Arabidopsis thaliana: one gene and its partner. The protein of the gene in region 1 purifies or fractionates together with the protein of each later gene. This does not show direct contact. Each region holds a gene or a part of one and is shown on either strand. Other genes may lie near its edges.

Region 1 (7,764 bases):
TTCCTCTCGTCTCCCTCGTCAGATCTTTCCTTGTCATCTGTAAGAACTAAGAACCATCCTCCTCCTTCTTTTCTCTCTGAGTTTTGCTTTTTCTCGATATGATTGTATTCTTCTGTTCATGAACAGGTGTCTACTCTCTATCCGATGCTCCTGCACTTTCGCATGGCCCTTACCTTGGAACTGTATCGCTGTGTTCTGTTGTTTCTGTTGTTCTTCTATCAGTAAAAGCTTGCGTTTTTACTGCAAATTCTCAACTTAACGACCAAGCCTCGTCCTCTCCGTCAAGGCAAAGACTCCATCTGAAAAAGTCTTGGGGGATGCCAGTTTTGTTCCTTTCATCTGTTGTTTTTGCTCTTGGTCATATGGTTGTTGCTTATAGAACAAGTTGCAGAGCTAGGAGGAAACTCTTGTATCACAGAGTTGACCCTGAAGCTGTGAGTTTATTATTATCATCATGCTCTTCTTCTTCTCTTTTTGCTCCAAAGCTTTGATCTTTGTTTAACTTATTGATTGTGTTGCAGGTTCTTTCTTGCAAAAGTGTCTTCTCTGGTTACCAGAAAGTCCCACGTTCTCCAATTCCTTTGGTAGGAAAGGCCTCCAAGGTTGATGGCGAGGCAAGACGAAAGCTGCATCCTTCAGTATCCAACGATGACGGAGAGCTACCTGCGAGATTGCTTGCTGATCTTGACAGCTTATTCATTACAGTCAGAGGGCTCACTGTGCATTACAAGATTTGCACACCTGCTTCTCCTCGCCACTCTATCTCCTCCTCAGTTGAAGCCAACTCTATGCTTAATATGCCAGAGGCGATGGTGGGAAGGTTGAAGCTTGACAGGAATATATTGAGCATGGTCACGAGAAACAAGCTCAACCATCACCACCATAGGAGCTACAGCAGTCTGTTTAACAATTCTTCTTCCTTGCACGACCCTCTCCTTGATGGTCTTCCTACTTCTCCTCGTCTTTTCAAAGATATTCAGGAAGAATCGTGCCGAGAGGATGGCATCAATGTGTCCAATTTTGGTGCCACGGAACAGCAAGATGTTGGTGGAAACGGCCAATTTGGTGTAGTGTTGGTCCATGGATTTGGCGGAGGAGTGTTTTCTTGGAGACATGTGATGAGTTCTCTTGCCCATCAACTTGGCTGTGTTGTCACTGCATTTGATAGGCCTGGTTGGGGATTAACCGCCAGACCTCATAAAAAGGATTTGGAAGAAAGAGAGATGCCAAACCCTTACACTCTGGATAATCAGGTGAAGTTCTGTTCAATTCCGGACTATGTTTATTACTTATGAGAGCTTTTTGTCTTTGCTCTTAGAAAGAAATGTTAAAACTCAAGGATCTGTTGATGCTTTCAGGTAGACATGCTTCTTGCCTTTTGCCACGAAATGGGATTTGCTTCTGTAGTCTTGGTTGGCCATGATGATGGAGGTTTGCTTGCTCTCAAGGCTGCACAAAGATTGCTAGAAACAAAAGATCCCATCAAAGTCAAAGGAGTGGTTTTGCTTAATGTAAGCTTGACGAGGGAAGTAGTGCCAGCTTTTGCAAGAATACTTCTGCACACATCACTAGGAAAGAAACACCTTGTTCGTCCGCTTTTACGCACTGAAATAGCTCAGGTGGTGAATCGCAGAGCTTGGTATGATCCTGCCAAGATGACAACCGATGTCTTAAGGCTATACAAGGCACCACTTCATGTGGAAGGCTGGGATGAGGCACTTCACGAGATAGGCAGACTCTCATCCGAGATGGTGCTTCCAACTCAAAATGCATTGTCACTTCTCAAGGCAGTGGAAAACTTACCAGTATTAGTCGTTGCTGGAGCCGAAGACGCACTTGTTCCCCTCAAGTCCTCCCAAGTCATGGCTTCAAAACTCGAAAACTCTGTAAGTCCTCCCTCTCTATATCTAATTAAACACCTAAACTCTGTTGATACGTAACTAACATTATACATGTCAACAAACAGAGGCTAGTAGCAATCTCAGGATGCGGACATCTGCCACATGAGGAGTGTCCCAAGGCACTTCTTGCAGCCATGTGCCCATTCATAAGCAGACTTGTATTTAGTGAGGACTGAGTGACTGAGTGATCACTGTACTTAGTGAGGAGTGAGTGACTGAGTGATCACTTCTAGTTGTCTTCTTAGCTCACAATCGATTAGTGTTTGCGAGTTTTTTTTGTCTGCCCCAAAAGGAAAGAAGTTGGGGTGATTGAGGTCTTAGTAAGTCTGTATTCATTATAAGCAGAGTTATTGTAACATTCTCTGTTTTTCTCATCAGAGTTTTTAATGGTTTGGAATAATTCTGTTTATTTTCCACTTAAGAGAAGAGTGGCTAAATCTTTGTAAAATTTTGCGGTAGAATACGCGCAGTTTGAAAACGTTATTTTCTTCGTGTACTCCTAAATGTCATGAAACTTGAAGGTCTCTGAAGTGTGATCACCAAAGAACCGAATAGAAACATTAAAAACACAGCAACTAAGCAGGTTCTTAAACTTAACGTTACTCTCTCAAACTAAACGTTAGGACGACAAATGAGATACTTCTTGCAAGCAGATAGAAGAAAAGTGTAGGGAGAGAGACTACTCAATCCAGAATATCAGAGATAGCTGTCTTCTTAAATGGATCACCTTGAGCCAACTGTGCAGCCATGGATTTGTTTGGAAAGATATTATCCGCCTTCAATCTATCTCGCATTCCATATGCAGGAGATTTGGCGTTTATGTAAGCCTGCATGAGGGCTTGGAACTGCCTAAGCCGAGATGTATACCCAGCTTCCCTCATTTTTAGGAATATCTTCTCTGTGTTATGAACATCTCCCCGTTTTGAGTACTCGTCCATGATATACATGAAGGAGTTCATCATCAGTTTTGTATGGCTCTGTTTTGATGCCTTGTCCAGCAAAGAATCAGCCTTTTCAACTTCTCCAGCTTCCACATAGAGCTTGATGAGTGCATCCCATGTCGTTGCCTCGATCCTGCAACCGCTCTCAGCCATTCGTTTAACCAGATCCTTACCCTTTGAGAGCATCTTGTGATCTACGTAAACCCTCAAGAGAACGGAGTAAGTACTAGAAGAAGCTCTTCTGTCCATCTTCACAATCTTCTCAAAAATCGCCTCTGCTTCTTGCACTTTATTGAGCTTTCCAAAAGCTTGGATTGCAGCAAGGGATTCCTCAAAGTAGGGCTTTGATTCACAGATCTTCCATATTCTTTTCACTTCATCTTCTCTCCCAAGAGAGGCATAGATGGAGAGCAAATCTTTGAATGCCCGGCGATTTGCCTCTAAGCTTTCACCTTCCATCTCTTTCAAGACTTTCTCGGCTTTATCTTTAAGGCCAGCTCCCGAATAGTGTCTAGCAGTGAGAGCTTGCGTCTGGAAGTCCAGTTCAACACCTTCATCTTTCATTGTCTCCAGAATTTGCTCCATACCACTTATGTCATTTGTTGCACCTTTGACATCAATCAGGATTTTGTAAGTGAGAAGACTTGGCTTGATATTTTCTTTCTCCATGAGCAATAGTACATCAGCAATTTTCTTCCTGTCGATCCTCTTGTGGAGCAGAAGCATCTGATCACAAGTAAATCCAGAGAGAGGGAATCCCAAGTCCTTCATTTTGTTAAACACCAGTTCGGATTTCTTCACATTGCCAGCAGCAACACAATTCGCCAAGAGGGTACGGTAAAGCACTTCCCCTTTAAAAGATTTTGGGATCTTCTGCATACAAGCTTCTCCCTTTTCTAAACCACGAATCTTAACTGTCAGATCTAACCGAGAAGCATAATCTCTCTCAGTCATTTCAATTTTCTTATTTGCTTCCAACCATTCTGACATCTACACAAACAGAAAAAAGAAACCAAGGTAAGCACTTGAACCAGTTCAGATACAGAAAGTTAAATCACGAGTAAGAAGAGAACTACCTGTAACGCTCTTCCATACATGCGACGCCTGCGCAGCTGGAGCATTGCCTTAGCAATCTCAACTCGAGTGATCTCATTTCCTTCTTCCACCCATTTATCAAGAGCACTACCTATAGACAGACCGGGTGCGGAGACAATGGTCTTAAATAGCTCAGATTGTTTCTTTTCAACTGTTTTTCTACTAACGTCGGTTTCAATGAGGTCTAGTTCTTCTTCTTCTTCTTCATCAGCGGAGAGCTTTCCCTCATCTTCATCACTACTAGTTGAACCTTGGCCAGACTTTGAACCTTCCAGTTCTGAGAAACCGTCTTCGAGGTCGTCTTCCTCTTGATCACTTTTAGTGCCAGCACTGGAGGAAAGAGCACGATTACTCAAAGAGGAGATCTCGTAAAATCTTGGCACAGCTTCACGTTTAGTAGAAGCAATCGAATTGGAATCAAAGCTCCTTTCTCCTCCTAATTGTATATCTTTTGAAAACACAGCAGAACAAGCTCCCAGTCGGAGTCTCTGCGTTCTGTAAAATTCACACACAAAAACAAAAGTTGGAAAAGTGTGCTAATACCAACTCAACACAGATATGTTAATGGCAAATCAAAACCATGCTCAAAATTTCAAATTTTACTCGAAATCTGTTTCACTGCCATTGAAGACACATACATAGCTACATCCCTAACAGTTTTTCGAACAAAATCAGAGATCCTTACCTTCGTAAAACCTTGGAAAGAGCGAACATGCTTCCTCTGTTGAAAATCTCTCTGGAAATTACCTGCTCTTTCAATCAAAAGACACACACCCAACAAAAATCAGACTAACATTATCATTTTGCAATGCTATCAGATTCGAAGGAAAGGTTACGCCTTTCACTGAAACGATCGGACCCAGAAAAAAAAAGAGAGAAGTTCGAATTAGACAAGGAATACCGAGGAAAGAAGCTAGAGGATTACGTGTAAGCACACAATGCGCGAGGCTGATCAAGAAATGGGATGGGATCTAGAGAGTAGAGAGACTACAAACACAAAGGGTTTATGAGACAAGTCGAGTGTTAAAGAAATGTTTTAGGGTTTTACGTTTTCTTTCTTTTGACCATTTTGTCCTCCAACAAGGTTTGCTTAATTGCATCCATAAATGGGCTTTTCGTAATAAACTCATAACCTATAACCTTAATTATCGTCTTTTTGTTTTTGGTTAATGCTTTTTTTTTTCTTTTGTCGTATTGGTTAATGCTTAATATATGTACTATGCATAGTAGGGTCACGATTAGATTTTAAACTTTGATGATTTCTTGTTAAGAATGTTAACAATGTTTTTTTTTTTTTAAACCTTGATAGCAGTTTTGTACAATGTCTAATTCAAAACAGTGAACTTTTATAAACAGAAAATACATAATCAGGAAATTAGATACCAGACACAAGAAAAGCATGAGGCTTGAACAATTACGTGTGATAGTGTTGCGACAATCCAACATTGCGATAATTTCCCGGTCCATTCATACATCAGATTTGGCAGTCCAAGGTCTGGATGAGTTGGTCTCTGCTCCAGAAGTAGTCATCAAGCTTCCAGTATCTGACATGTAGTGATAATTGTAATTGATTCTGGTCACCAAATCAGCCAAATGAGGGAAGTGTCCCACATTCAGCTTCGAAGATAATACCTGCAAGTTCCATCCCCCATTAAGCATTAATCAATTATATATAGCTTCACAATACAACAAGTACACAGTTTTCGATTTACTTACTCTGAGAAGGAAAGCAATACAGTCCTCAAATTGTTTCTCTATACGGTCTATTTCCATTTCGCATCTAGCCTTGATGGCTGAAACTGCTCCACCGCTGCTCAGTGTCTGTTGTATTGAGTAGAATTCTAGAGCTAAACCGAGAATCATGTTGATCCGACTTGCGATGATTGCCCACTATACAAAAACCACCAAACACTAGGTTTTTAGAAGCCTACAACTTCAAATATATACTATGCATTTTAAGAGGTCGCTTAATGCCTTCATGGTCCATTACCAGCTTTTCTTGAACCACAAAGCATTGCCGCTGAATCGATAACAAGTAGGTTTCATGTACATATATGACCTCATCCAGAGACCCTGCTTTTACCATCGCTTCACACAGTTCACGCCACGCAGTGTGATATACCTGCTTACAAAATACAGTTAAGCATGGCAAGCTTTTCATCTTACTCAAGCCATGTGATCAGCTTTCGATTTTGCCACAACTCTAGCACAAACTTATATTACTCCAACGAAAAATGATACTGTAATTATAACCAATCATTTAGCATTGGACAATACCCTGTCCATTACGTATTGATGAAAAGCATCCACAAAGTTGAGGAGCTTTTGTTCTAGTAACCAGTGGTGCTTGCGGATTTTTGTTGCAGAGCCTTTACCCTATCATACACAAACACCAAAGTCATCAAGTTTATCAAACTGAACCACATTCTTATGATTCCCTTTATATTTATATGTATAGATCAAAAGACTGATTAGGCTCTTTCAAACTGGATTTGGAAGTCACGGGATACAGTCTAAGAAGAAAGAAATGAGTTTGAGAGATATCAAAGACCTTCCACATCCACCTTCGTGCTTTATCAAGCACATATTTTGCTCGCTTGACCTTCAACAAAAATCCCATCACCTGTTTTCAATTAAATAATTACCACATAGAGGAACAACAAACTGTTTACCACAAAAATAGCTGGATGAGAAAGGGTTACCTGGTTATACTTCTTAATGGCCTCACTATTGGCAATAAGCTCAAGTGGCCATGGCACCTTAAAAAAGAAAACAGTTCAGCTCTTCAAATACACATAGATGTGGCCTATGAGATATACCAGTACGGATTGGATGGAAGACTAAGTTGTTTCTCTAGACCTTGTATGTGAATTTGAGAGACTCGAGACAATCTATTCCAAAGCTGTTAACGCGGCTTTTACGAGTTGAAGAAAGGGGTATTATGTCACCCTTATCATCTTTGTCTCTGTCTTCTCTGGAAATAGATACCACCAATGAATCAGGACTGCTTAACAGCATGGCATCAGCTGAATTTCTAATTGATTCCTGTAGAAGACCATTACACTTTAGAAATAAGTTTGGTGTATGAACACATATACGGCAACAGAACACGGATACATAAGCAAACAATTAACAAGCGGAATCATTTTAGAAGTGATAACAACTATAAAGATGAGAGCAGTGTCTCTTAAAAATACACCAAACCTGGTTACCTGAAGTATTATGTTCAACTCAAAATCATCATTTGATGACTCTCCCTTGCCCAGCCTATCGAAAATGACAGTCAGAAAATGCTGCAGCAGGTCCCCTGAAAGTTTTAAGGGGTTATTAAGATTTCAGATACAACCATATTGCCAAAACAGTTGAGCACATAAAACGCACCTGAACCTAGCAAGTAAATGGCGCGCAATACAGCAAGTTCGTGCATCAATTTCCAGTCATTCATTAGTTTTGACAAAATCACTTTGCCAATGTAGTCCACCTAAAACATACACAACTTTCAGAAGGTAACAAGAGTATGCATGCCATAGGCACAAGCAGCAATGTTGAAGATTACATCACCCTACCTGCCTCCTTATGTAAATTGTGAAGCATTCCTGCATAATTACAACGGGAAGTCGAGTATCCATTGGCTCTGCCTTTAGCAACCAGCTGAGAACTCTTGAAGGAAGTGTACTATTCTTTTGGAAAGGTAAGAATTCTGACAGATGGAGCTTCGGCTTTTTTGTTGATCACAAAGATTTCAAGATAAGCAAACAGAAACTATTGCAAATGAGAGAAAATCGAAGAAAAGTGCCATAAAATAATCATAAATCATCAGTATCAAA
Region 2 (5,938 bases), on another chromosome or scaffold:
TATGCAATCCCAAATTTTAATGTTTTTTCTTTAAGATTAGTGAAAGTTTCACATATGTATCTTTCTCGTCCAATTGAATATGTTATTTTCCAAATATAAAGTTTGATAAGCGAGAATTATATCAAGACGATAATAGAAGTTACCTTAATTCAAATTGTGGAAAAATCATATACATATGAGTAATTGGAAAAGTGGAAGATGAGCCGATTTATATAAATTTTGAATTTTGTTAATTGTGAATGTAATAATAACTAGCGAAAACATTAAGAATTTTTATGCAACCGTCAATGATTTCATGGGATCTTTATCAAAAGATCAAATTGAGAAATATTCAATGACATCTGATGCATATCACAATCTTTGAATGCAATATAGTTCAATGCGCTTATCGTCTTGCTTGCATTATTACAGAACTTATTGATGGTATTGGGATTTTGTATCCAGTTTGGGCAAATAAAGCCATCAGATCACTATCTTGCGTGTCTGTGTGACATGTAATGAGTTTAGCTTGGAGACTTCAAGCCCATTTTCTAGAGTCAAATTTAACGTTGCATTTGATTTAGAAAAAAAATCAAAAGAATTCTTGAAGATCTTGAAGTGTACCTCATACAAAGATTAAGGATTCTAGAGGAGGTGTTTGACATTTGAATCTATCAACATTACTACTCTCTCCGTGTCTCTTCAATTCAATTTAGAAAACAAAAATATATTCATTGCTTTAAGTACTTTGTTCAGTAAAACATAGTTCTTATTCTCTTTTATCAGTCTCACTCTCACCAAATTACCTACAAGTTAAGATTTTCTATCCACATAAAATATCAAAATTGAGGACTGAATCATGATTTTATAGATAACACTACTTCAAAATCTTACTATATTGGAATTAGATATGATTCATAAATTCATGAAATCCATGAAACTACAATTTTATTCCTAGTGTATAGTTCGATCTATCAAATTGTATATGGGTTATCGATATATTTGGATGATTGACACGAAAGAACCAAGTATTTTGAATAAACTTTTTTCCAAAATATTAATAATGCATAGTACTTATTAAAAAATCAAAAAGACCTTGAAAAAGAGAAGAGATTGAACTTATTTATCAAACACCAGATCACCAAAAATTTGGTGCGAAAAAGGTATCTAGTAACTAGTAAGACTATTTAAAAGCTCTCATTAATCAAAACCAGACTATTATTACTCTTTTAAAAAAAAGACTAGACCTCGAGTGAAGAAATAAAATTAACAGTCAAACTTATTTCTCAGATACCAGAATACCAAAAATTGGCGCGAAAGACAAAACGAAACCAAAAAATGTAGAACAAAGTCAAACTTATTTCTTAAATATCAGATTACCGAAATTTAAAGCGAAAAACTGAATATTTGATAAACACTTACCGAAACCTCTCACTAATCTAAAATAAAGTATGTATCCCTTACCATGTTCAAAAAGAGCGCGAATGAAAATATAGAAAACGGTCAAATTTATTTCTGAGTTACCAGATTACCGAACATTTACCGCGAAAAACAGAAAAACGGTCAAATTTATTTCGCAGATACCAGATTACCGAACATTTGTTTCGAAAAAACAGAGTATCTAATAAAACTTTCTGCAATCTTACAACCATTACAATTTAATGTATCATTAACACAAAACTCTTAATTTCAAGCTTGATAAACATCTATTACCCGAAAAATAAGCCAATCCAATTAAAAACATATCCATAGATACAACAACAGAAATCAGGAGATACGCGTCAAGATCTAAGAGGATGAAAGATAAAACTTATCGTGCTCTCCTCCTCATCAGATTCATTTTGCGGACTCCTCCTCATCTTATTAAATCCGCTTAATTGTTTTTGGGTCCGCCCTTTTTCTCTTTCACATCTTTCTTTCTCTCGCAAACCCAAATTCTCTCAGCGCCGGTCAAATACTTGTCTCTCTCTCTCTCTCTCTTTCACTCTTGTCTTGTCTCCTTCGAAGCTGTTTGTTCTGTAAGAAAGATGGAAGCAGGTGGCGCGTACAATCCACGCACTGTTGAAGAGGTGTTTAGGGATTTTAAGGGTCGTAGAGCTGGCATGATTAAGGCTTTAACCACTGGTAACAATTTGTTTTTTCTTTCTTCTTATTACTATCTCAGTTTTGTCACCGGAAAAAAACTGAATTTTGAGATTACCCTTTTGTGTGTGCAGATGTTCAGGAGTTTTTCCGACTTTGTGATCCCGGTGAGTGTTGTTGTTCCTTTGAGATTTGATTTGAATTAACGAAAGTTTTGATTTTTATTTGTGTTTTTTGAATTTTTCTATGTTTTGCTCTGTTTTAATCTGAGTGTTGTTGTTTCAGTGAAGCATTTAGGGTTCATAGTCTCTCTCTCTCTCTCTTTTCTGTTTATGATTTTGTTTAGATTTATTTGAATTGCGCTCCAGTGTCGAAAGTATTGATTTTTGTTTGACTTGGTTCGATTGTGTTTTCAACTAAAGAAAAAATTTGTTTGTGATCCTTGTGAGTGTTGTTGTTCCTTCGAGATTGATTCTCGCCGGCGAAAGTTTGGTTTTTTGAATTTGCTTCGTTGTGGTTTGTTTCAATCTGATTGTTGTTGTTTCAGTGAAGCATTTAGGGTTCATAGATTCTATTGTCTCTGTTTTGTGGATAAAATTGTGATTTTGTCAGATTTATTTGAATTGCAGTGTAGAGTTTGAGCGGAGTCAAAGTGTTGATTTTTTGTTTGACTTGGTTTTAATTTAAGGTTTTTTGAACAATTGTCATCATTTTCCTTTTGTGATTATAGAAAAGGAGAACCTTTGCCTTTACGGACATCCAAATGAGCACTGGGAAGTGAATTTGCCAGCTGAAGAGGTTCCTCCTGAGCTCCCAGAGCCTGTCTTGGGTATCAATTTTGCCAGAGACGGGATGGCGGAAAAGGATTGGTTGTCCCTTGTTGCTGTCCACAGTGATGCTTGGCTTCTTGCTGTTGCTTTCTTTTTTGGAGCCAGGTTTGGATTTGACAAAGCTGATAGGTATGTATATCCTTCTCCTCTTTAAGTCTAATCTTCTTACATCTATGTTCCTTGGTGGTATATAGATGCAAGCCTCTCAGTCACTCATTGTTCTACTCCTTCACCGTTTATGTAGCTCTCTGTGATTTATGTTCTTTCACATTTGTTACAGGAAGAGGCTTTTCAATATGGTGAATGACCTCCCAACAATCTTTGAGGTTGTAGCTGGCACTGCTAAGAAACAAGGAAAAGATAAGTCCTCTGTTTCCAACAACAGCAGCAACAGATCCAAATCAAGCTCCAAGGTAGAGACTTTGTTTTCCACTGTACTTCTTCTCTACAGTTTAATCCTTGTACTAATTCTGGTTTCTTTGTCTCACGTTACAGCGAGGATCTGAATCCCGTGCCAAGTTCTCAAAGCCGGAGCCGAAAGATGATGAGGAGGAGGAAGAGGAAGGTGTGGAAGAGGAGGATGAGGATGAGCAAGGTGAAACACAGTGTGGAGCATGTGGTGAGAGCTATGCAGCTGATGAGTTCTGGATTTGCTGTGACCTCTGTGAGATGTGGTTTCATGGAAAGTGTGTTAAGATAACACCAGCAAGAGCTGAGCACATCAAGCAATACAAGTGCCCTTCTTGCAGCAACAAAAGGGCTCGTTCCTAAATTTGTTGACCGCTCGCTTCTGTGTATCTACCTTTGCATATGATGATGAACAGCTTAACTGTTTGGTTTAGATCAGATTTGTCATATGGATTTGGTAATTTAGGAAGACATTTTAGTTTTTTCATTGTTACATTTTGGCGATTGAAGGGATAACTCTTTGTTTAGGGGTAATGATCTTTTGCTCTGTTTTATGTTTGTTTATTAACATTCTTCAAACTCAATCAAAAGTATTTTGGTTAGTCTTAACACAACAAGGTTTTATCAATATATCATTTCTGCTTCTTTGTTGCTAGGCGCTTCAAGAACTCGTAGGTTGTGATCATCGTTGTTGCGGACATCGACATTGAGACCCATCTTGGTCCTAATCCTCTGTAACAAGCACCAACTCCTCCTTCCTTCATCAAGCTCTTCACTGACTGCATCACTGTCATTGCTCGTCTCCTCCCGTTCTCTTCTGCGTCTAAGACTTGCAACCGCGTCTTGATTGTGTCTACTGGCATAGTTACTAAAGCCGAGCAACCGCTTGCTGTAGCTGCACTCAACGCTTGAACCACCACTGAGCCACCAGCATCTTCCTTGTGGTTGTAGGAGTGCTTGTATCGAGACCAAATTGATTTTTGAGCCAAAGAATAAGACGCCCACCAAACCGCGTTGGAAGGTGCGTAAGTCAAGATCGAGATCCCAAATCCTCTGTAGAACCCTCTTGGTCCATCTGTGTAAAGAATCTTTCTAAAAGCATCAAACCCATTTCTGTATCTGCAAGAGTTCATCACTCCAGGAAGATGCTTACTCAAGGAGACATCGCCTTGAACCATAAGCCCTTGACTCACAATATCAATCGGAGTCCAGACAGTCTGGGCAGCCACAGCCGAGGTCAAACCAGCTGCACCATTAGCAACAGCCAAAGACGTAGTATCAGACAATCCTAACCTAACAGTTGCTTGACCTACACTACTCTTTGTAATCTCTAGAGCAGTCATATAGAGAGCACGAGCCGGGATGGTTCCAAGCAAAGATGTTCCAAAACCCTTGTAAAACCCTTTAAGACCTTCAAGTCTAGCAATAGCCAGAGAAATGTTGGCACATGAGACACGAGTCGGAGAGACTTGTTGCCTTGTTTTGAGAACTACAATAGGGTAAAGAGCAGTGGATACACCGGAGAAAAGAGCAGCACCGAGGAAGAAAAACCTCGATTTATCAAGCATTTGCCAATCTATATCATTTGACATATGTACCTGAGAAGAAGAAGATGAAGTTGTTGCTCTTCTCTTCTCTTCCATCAAAGCACCTAAACTCATTTTGAGCTAATCTTACCTTAAAAACCAAATCAAGATTCCAACTTTAGAGAGTTTTGACCTGAGTAAGAGATGAGAATAGAGTGTATGATTGAATTGTGATCAAAGAGAGAAAATCTCTGTGGATTTATTAGCTTCAAAATCTATGAACTCGTGTATTAATATTATTATAGTGAATATAGAGTCAGAGCCAAAACGATGGGTCGTGTGGATAACATAAAAGGAGCGGCCTTTAACGGACTCAAGAGGTGTGTGAGGAGGAGTAATGGGACTGGGCACGTGGCAAGTGTTGGTTGGTTTATGTTAGAGAAACTCACAGTTTTTAAGGTTACATGAGGCTGAGAAGAGAGTGGCTTCTGTCGGAATCGCCACTTGTTTCATCCTTCTGTGGATTATATTTATTATTTTATTTTATTTTTACTGATTTCTGTAGGTTTTGCATTTGATTATTTTGTGATATAATGTATTTATCAATAACTGTTTTAGTTACATTTTAAATAAAATTAGATGCATATGTATAATAGTATGGATAACAGAGCCTATTTATAGAATTTCTTACATTTTATGGAAATAAATAACTTTTTTAAAAGGTCCAAGAAATAGTCTAGATTGCAAATGCAAGTTTTCGATTGTAAATGAAAGTTTATTGATTTTAGATGATAAGTAAAGTGTTAAGTGTATAGTGTTTTGACAAACAGAATAATACTAAATCTTGTGATCTATGTGCTCTCTATACTAGTAGTCTAGTACTTAATATAATTGTCTTTATGTTTATTTTTGTCAATCTTCTCGGTTCTTATGATCAAATGCTTGTTTATCATTGTTAAATCGTTTGATTGCATGTAATTTCGTTTGATTTTTCTTAGGATAAAGTAGAAAAATCATTTCAAACTGATTTCCATAATCTCACAATTTACGAGAGTCAGCCGTTGATTCCTCATATGTCTCGTCAATTTTAACTGAAAAGCCTCGAATTCAAGG

The links.
Region 2: the proteins of PPR596 (region 1) and AL4 fractionate together in Arabidopsis thaliana (co-fractionation; one large-scale study listed by BioGRID). This does not show direct contact.

What each region holds. Positions count from the first base shown.
Region 1 is NC_003070.9:30,178,152-30,185,915, reverse strand, and holds PPR596 (PENTATRICOPEPTIDE REPEAT 596), read right to left. Parts: upstream 5,010-7,764; 5' UTR 4,839-5,009; intron 4,791-4,838; exon of another isoform or gene 4,685-4,790; 5' UTR 4,652-4,684; coding exon 4,623-4,651; intron 4,433-4,622; coding exon 3,919-4,432; intron 3,833-3,918; coding exon 2,585-3,832; 3' UTR 2,355-2,584; downstream 1-2,354. Other genes in the region: AT1G80280 (alpha/beta-Hydrolases superfamily protein), read left to right, coding at 1-39, 127-434, 522-1,253, 1,359-1,886, 1,967-2,077; emb1427 (Spc97 / Spc98 family of spindle pole body (SBP) component), read right to left, coding at 5,405-5,569, 5,654-5,827, 5,928-6,059, 6,215-6,313, 6,489-6,560, 6,640-6,696, 6,797-6,982, 7,150-7,244 and 2 more.
Region 2 is NC_003076.8:9,156,290-9,162,227, reverse strand, and holds AL4 (alfin-like 4), read left to right. Parts: upstream 1-1,734; 5' UTR 1,735-2,006; coding exon 2,007-2,103; intron 2,104-2,195; coding exon 2,196-2,228; intron 2,229-2,791; coding exon 2,792-3,020; intron 3,021-3,171; coding exon 3,172-3,304; intron 3,305-3,386; coding exon 3,387-3,662; 3' UTR 3,663-3,910; downstream 3,911-5,938. Other genes in the region: AT5G26200 (Mitochondrial substrate carrier family protein), read right to left, coding at 3,932-4,960. UniProt on the Arabidopsis thaliana protein: Histone-binding component that specifically recognizes H3 tails trimethylated on 'Lys-4' (H3K4me3), which mark transcription start sites of virtually all active genes.